Linked DNA regions of Drosophila melanogaster. The protein of the gene in region 1 interacts with the protein of each later gene in a pairwise test. Each region holds a gene or a part of one and is shown on either strand. Other genes may lie near its edges.

Region 1 (3,413 bases):
TTGCGAGACTATTGGTCGGTCGGTCGAATTTGGACTTGGCTAACGGCCGGGAACTATCGGCAGACCGATACAATTTTGCCCCCCTTACTATCGTGCACCTTACAACACTGTCCATAGCTATCGATAAGGCGCCAAGAATGCACATGGATCAAACTTTGTCGATTTGTTATCACGAAGCAAAAAATATTTTTCGGTATATGGTTATATATGGGATCACAGCCTCAAGGCTTTTTTATAACTATTAAAACGACCAGATATGCGTACGTAGTTATTGACTCAAAGCTAAAAGCTGAGAAAAGGATCTAATGATCCCACAAAGAGTCATGGCAGCATAAACTTGGCGGAACATACATAGGGTCAAATGTGCTAAAAGACATACAAATTATCACATCAGTTCCGGGAGCTAATAAAATTATGGTGGTATACATGAAGGCACTAGTTAGGTGTACAATTTTTTACCAGGTACACTAGTTTTGGACACGTCATAAGAATAAGTCTTGACTTATAGAACATAAATATCATATTTATTAGCACTAACACACTTATGGGGTAGGATGACTTAACCGTATACCTATCACTAAACTATATCAGGTTTCGCGCTTCCTAGCCGTAGTATCCGCTTCCACCCGCACTGGCTGTTGCGAATCCTCCACTGCTGCTGGCGTAGGCCACGTCTAGAGGAAGAAACAGGTCCAAAACACTTGTAGATTACTTGTGTGCTAGGCACCGAGGTGCTATCAGTCGGGAAACTCACTCATGCCATTGCCGCCGTAGGGATATCCTCCATAGGGGTATCCGTACTGCCCGTATCCACCGTACATCGAGTACGGGTTGTAGCCGGGATACGAGTAGTACGGATATCCGCCGTAGCTGTAGGGGTATCCGTACATGCCGCTGCCGTATATGTTCCCGTATCCCGATCCCGCTCCCGCATTAGCGCCGCCGTAATAGGGATAACCGTAGTATTGGCTCGCGGATGGCTGCAGGAAAATGGCGACCAGGAGCAAACCGAACCAACAACATGGAGAGCGGCTCGACTGTTTCACTGACATGATTTTTCTGGCCATGTTTATCGTGTGTAATCCTCGAACGTTGACTGAATGCAAAAACCCCGGCATTAACTGATTTTATAGAGTTTGCCGCCGAATGTTTGCAATTTTAAAGCATAAAACGCTTTTTTAATGGAGCTTAATCGGGCGCCCATCAGCGGCTGCTCGGTTTGCTCGTTCGTGCGTAACCCAGCCGGCGTATACGCAATATTTTTAAATCCCAATATAAACGCTCTGCAAACGTATGTATTTAGTGCAAGTTAACAACAAGAGAACAAAACAAAACAAAACTATTTGGCTCTTTTTTGCCTATCGCCGCGATTACTCATCCCACATCTCGTCTGATTTGTGATTGCCGTTTTGCTATCAATTTAAATTAGTCAGTCAGCCGCTTTTTTTGCCAGGGGTTCACATTTATTCTGCGTAAACACAGTCATTAACCTTAAAATTGGTTGATGGTCCGCCTAGTCATGTGCGATGCCAGTGGTGCTTTCCACTTCTTTGAGGTTCATTGCCGACCTGGACCGTGGTCAATGCTCATTCACGCCCTTCGGATGAGGTCAACCGTAATAACTCCGATTCTGATAATTGGAATCGTATTGGTTTTCGGATTTTCCACTGCGATCAGCTTGGTCGTTGGCCGAGAGTTCAGTTTGAGGGACTTTTGGCTACAGAATTTTGGCCTTGGTGGTCATGCATCGACGCTGAAACTATTCCACAATGCGAATCTGTCGGTTTGGAAAGTGATACTTGAGAACTGCATAATGGAAAGTTCAATGTACTTATAGATTAATTTATTCTTCTTGGCTATGAAAGTAGGCTTACAACTTAGTAATTTAGTGATGTTAGATACGGTGGGTTTACACATCTCGCATAGTAAATAAGCTTTTAAAAATGTGAAAAACGCAAGTCGTGGGCAATTGCAAGGAATTGTTCTCAATACACTTTGTAGCTCTTGCATATGTGCCCGAAAAGTATACAACATGCCATTCATAAATATTTAAGGCCTTTCCCGTACCCAACTCATTCGTGTTCGTGTAGGTGTGTGTCATTACACTGGCCAACAATGCAAAATGTCACAATTGGAATTGTCCCGCCTTTGGGTTCCCATGCAGCTGACGTTTGCCTTCCGCCGCCCGCTCACTCACTCTCTCTCTCTCTCACTCTCTCTGCCGGGGTGGTTTCTGACTCTCTCTTCTTTGCCGCACTACTCCAGGTAGCTCAGGTAGGTTTGAGCCTCGTAGGTGTTGCATTCCCGCTGACCTCCAGTAGTTGAGTGAGTTGCTCCGGCCGGATGCCGACTACGCATGCTCAAGCCTGGATGTGCACGGATTTCGGGACACCCTATATTAAAGTAGCCTCAGTTGTTTGAGCCGAGTGACTTGCTCATAAATTCGGCTTGGTAATTTGTGTACTATTTAAAAGGGTTTCATAAAAAGATTGTAATTGAGATCTTGTGCAAATAAATTAAGCTTAAAACTATTATCAAATAATAATATATTTTACAATGACCCAAAATAATATTACATATAATGCATAGTGAACACGCCTTATATTCTTAAAAAAAATGTGTGTCTGTAAGTTTTATTTATAAGAAGGAAATTATGGTTATATTACGACTTTGAAATTCTATCTCTCGACATTAAAAATGCCTCCTTGAAAGTTAACATTCTAGAAAGGGTACGCTTCCCCAGTCCCCAATTTAAGGACTTAATTTTCCAAACCCCAAACGAGCAATTTTCATATTAAAAAGTTTGTCTATGCCGAGCCTAACTCCCGTCCCCACTTTCCGATGGAAAAATTGAAAGCTATCCCTTACAAAACTTCTACAAACTTTTCATTCATTTACCCTCATACTTTCGCATCATATTTGGGACAGTAAAATGCTAATTGTTTGTCCGAAACGAAAGAAACCTCCTTGTAGCCATCAATTTTTCAGCATTCTTACGTGTAATTAATTAAAAATTTGATGCAGCAGCAACTTTTGTTTGCTGTCGAAATTACAGCAGCAACAAAAAGCTAATTAAAACTTAAAATCATATAGGAGTGCAACTGGAGCCGTGCCGTGACCCACAGAGATCGCCCACTCGAGAGTCTCACTCACTGGCAGGAGAAACTCACTCAAAGCGCCGAATTGCAACTGAAGTGTTACGCATACGCCGCGTGGGACCGAGCGAGATGCCATCCTGCTGTGAGTGAAAGCCGGTCGAAAAAATAAAGAAAAAATCAATTAAAATGCACTCGAGTGCACCGCGCTTCTGCACTCATTTTTTGGGTTTAGCAAATTTGTAAGAAATTTTTAAACGAAAATAAGCGAGGCAGAGAGTGCTTTCTCCCTTTCTCGCCATATCTACATCTCGCTTG
Region 2 (3,934 bases), on another chromosome or scaffold:
TAATGTACAGTTATAGTATATATCGTTGCATAAGGTTCTCAACATTTTAATGTATTATTATTTAAGATCTCTTATAATGCCCACTTTTGCTTGTCTTTTGTTGGCCAACGACCTTGCCGCCAGCCCAGCGAAGAACAAACACTCCCCTCAAAGGAAAACCTCTTGAGTGGCATCACAAAACACTGAATCCACAAGTGGCCACCGCCAGCAGAAGTCTCTGGGCCACCGGAGACATTGCAAATCCGCTTTAAGCGTCTTTATTTAAATGACTTCGTTTCTTTTTTTCCTTTGTCGATTCTCCCACAGGAATACTCCAACAACGCACAACCTCACCCGAAAAAAATCCGGCTACAACAACTACCTGACTTCATCAACTGGCAATTTGCAATAGACTCATTGGCATTTAGCAGACCACAGACACAAAAACCCAACCCATTCGCCCAACGAAACCATTTTTCCGCAGAATTTCCCCCAAAGAAAGCTAAACGAGTCGCTTATAAGAAATTACTCAGGTAAGTTAAAATGCAAAAGTGGGAAAGTGGTGTTTATATAGAAAAGATTTTGAAAAACGCATGAAGAACCTAAAGAACATTATATTTCTAAAATATTGTAACAGTTTCCTAAATTGTGAATGAAAGAGGGATGCATTCAATTTTTTAAGATGCAGAAGTTCCAACTCGCATATCAAGATATTGATTTTAATTTTATAAACAAAATATGTACATATTCCAGAGCTTAAAAAATCTTGCAATTTAAGCTCAAATTACAAAGAATTGTTTTTAAATGGTACTTTTGTAAAGTTTTCAATTGAAGCCTACTATTGGCACGTTTCGATCTTTTTTGCTTCAATAGATTTGTGCTAATTAGCTTAAAAGGGGCCTCATTTACACGCCCCAGCTATATATTTATGTATCTCGCTACCGTTTTCCAATTAAAATTGCAATTTATAGCTAGTTGGTGGAAAAAAAAAGTATAATCAGCTGCACCTTCGGGCGTCGGTGCAAATTTGTACAGCAATTAAATGTTGGATAAAAAGCCGACTTGAAGGGCTGCCAATTCCTGGTTGATTATACGGGAAAACCAGTTTATGGCCTTCCATAAACCGAGGTCTCTTCCATCTGCCTCAATGTCAAGCTCAAATCCACTGACTAAGCGCAGGCATGAGCTACGTTTTAATTAATACACAACTGAAAAATGGGCACAATTTAAATAAAGTTGCGTGCCGATGCTCAGAAGAGGCAGCAAGCCACTACATTTTAAACCAACGTCGCCATTTGAAAAATCTTGGGCAATTAGCACAAGCTGCAGCAGCAACAACAATTAAACAAAAAAGCAACGACAAACAGTAATCAAAATAAATATCTGAGGGAACATAAATAAAGAATTAAACAATCGCATTCGTCACATCGCATCGCACATGCAGCTCAATTTAATTCAATGCAGGAATTCTATGTTATATTCTCTATTCTAAAGATAATATATATGGAACTTCACACAAATTTCAAAAAAATTGTATTTCTAAAACTTGAATTATTGAAAATTTGAATGGTATACTGGTACTTCAGCTTTTGAAAGAGTATTAAAACTTTGAATTAAAAAAATTGCAATAAATTCTCCTGGTTTACATGCATTATTCTGGTATGGAATAAAAACATACACGCGATATGTACTCAAGAATTGTTTTAGCAATTGAATCAAGTTCGATTTGAATCAAATCGAAATGAAAAAGTTCAACTTTCAGGCTCTGAAAGTCAAACTTGAAAATCCAATGAATTAGCATAATTTGAAATCTAAAAAAAAAAAAACAGTATCTTTTGTTTGAATCGAATTTTCCCACGCCCATAAACCAAAATCGCATGCCAATTGTTAATTAATAATTATTAAAATGTATTTTACACACTTTTCATTGTGCATTCATTTGAAATGCAAAGACCCATGCATTTACTACGCTTCCAGCACTTTTTGTATAGAAAAAAAAACTAAGCGAATCTTTTTCGCTTGCTCAAAATTAATTCGTTTAATAAACCGCCGGCGGCACGCTAAAGTTTTTAGTTTGAGTTCAGAGCGCCGACTTGTCGGTAGAATTGGAATCCGCGGAATGAACGATCCACCCCGAAAAAGATTCCAAAGTGAACCAATTGTGAAAAAGAAAGTGCAATCCAGACAAACATCAGCACTTCCCAAATGCAAAACACACAGCCTTAACTTGTGATTTTGATTTTGATCAACAGAGTCATCGGCTAATTGGGATTTCAGTGCGCATTTCTGGCGGCTTTCAGTGATTAGCCAAAAGCCATATAAATATCGGTCGTTAAAGCAGATTCAGGTTCATTAGTGCACGTGATATTCTAGGGGCGAGAGTTCAGTTTGTGGAGCATTAATCTCCAGATCTATTAAATCAGGAAAAGCTGCCAGGTAAATGATTGAACTTCATATCTAACATCATATAATTTCTTCTAAAGAATGCACATTAAATTGAAAGTGCATTTTGGCAAAGGGATGAGAAAGAATAGAATACTATATATCCTAGAAAACAGAGCCGATATTTGTTTATTTATATGAATACAACTTATCCCTTGTTATAAAAAGTTATCCCATTTGTTAGCCATTAAAAAATCTTCCCATAAACAACAGTAGCGCAATTAAAACAGAGATTAATGGACAAATATACGGGCTAATTAAAACGATGCCAGATTTCCCTTGTACAATACTATAACTAACGCAACAGCTTTGTATTTAGGCAGCCAATTCTAGTTGATTTAATCAATTGAAATGACAAAATTTGCTGCCGTTTGTTTGTCACGCCCCCAAACGTGTTGCAGTTGTATGAACTTTCAGCAGCTTCCTCGTCTATTTGTCAGATAATTTTCATTTGTCATTCAATGTCAACACTTTATCAATACGAAGACGTCATAAACAATCAATTGTACGACGGGACAGGCATCAATTGTAAACTTGATCAATTGCAAAGTAAATTGAGAAGGCATTATGCAAAGACTATTGGCGGAAGACTTGATTCATCTACGCCTTCAATTACGAGACCTTTTCTTTTTTTTGCTAAAAGCAGTGGGTTAATTCAATTTTACAACCGAAAACTTAAAGAACTCTGCCTCTCTTTTTCGACTCCCTTTTGTGAGACTTTGCGAGCGAATTATGCTGGCAAATTGAATTTGCGCCTGGCGATAGGCAACAGAAAATGTCAAAATTACAAATGTTGCGCATACGCCCCGTGTGTTTGCTGGTAGTGCTCCGGGGTGGCAGGCAATTAAATAAATATTTAAATTGCGTATGATTCAATTAGAGTCGTGTTGCCGTGTGAAAGATACGCTTCTTAATTGCCAGCCCCAAGACTTGTAATTTACTTTTAATTAGCGAAAATCATTGGGGCATAAAGCGAGCGTGCGACTTTTGGATTTGATTTGGAAGGGGAATGGGCATGGAAATGCGATTGGGAATGGGAATTGGTATGGGAAAGCTGCTTACTCTTGATTTGATTACATTTTAAAAAGACAATCGGCTTACTGCCTTGCCATTCGTAGCAACCAGCGGCTAGCGACGCAATGCAATCATCGACCGATGCGGGCAATGGTGGACCAAGAAAACACACGCAGAGCACAGCCCCCCAGAAGCAGTCGGAGATTAGCGAGACCACCTCCTTCACCGTAAACGCAAACACCACCACCAACAGCCAGCAGCAACAGATTCCCGGCGGACCCGCCAGCAATACGCCCAGCAAAAATCCCTTCAAGCAGCAGTTGGACAGCAATCAACAGAATGGCAATATGGAGCCGGATTGCGGCATCATGGGCGTCGGCAAGGAGCCACCGGTACCGCCGCCGCCCACCTACCAGTCGCAGACCTACGCAGGACGACAGGCTCCGCCGCCAGCGGATCAGTACCGCGAGGAGGATCCACGCGCTGCCGGGTCCTGGGC

What was found.
Region 2: the proteins of CG14563 (region 1) and Vmat interact in a two-hybrid assay, tested with the Drosophila melanogaster proteins (one large-scale study listed by BioGRID).

Annotation. Positions count from the first base shown.
Region 1 is NT_037436.4:21,841,304-21,844,716, forward strand, and holds CG14563 (uncharacterized protein), read right to left. Parts: upstream 1,084-3,413; 5' UTR 1,053-1,083; coding exon 755-1,052; intron 675-754; coding exon 604-674; 3' UTR 505-603; downstream 1-504.
Region 2 is NT_033778.4:13,527,992-13,531,925, reverse strand, and holds the start of Vmat (vesicular monoamine transporter), read left to right. Parts: upstream 1-2,050; 5' UTR 2,051-2,415; intron 2,416-3,539; 5' UTR 3,540-3,560; coding exon 3,561-3,934.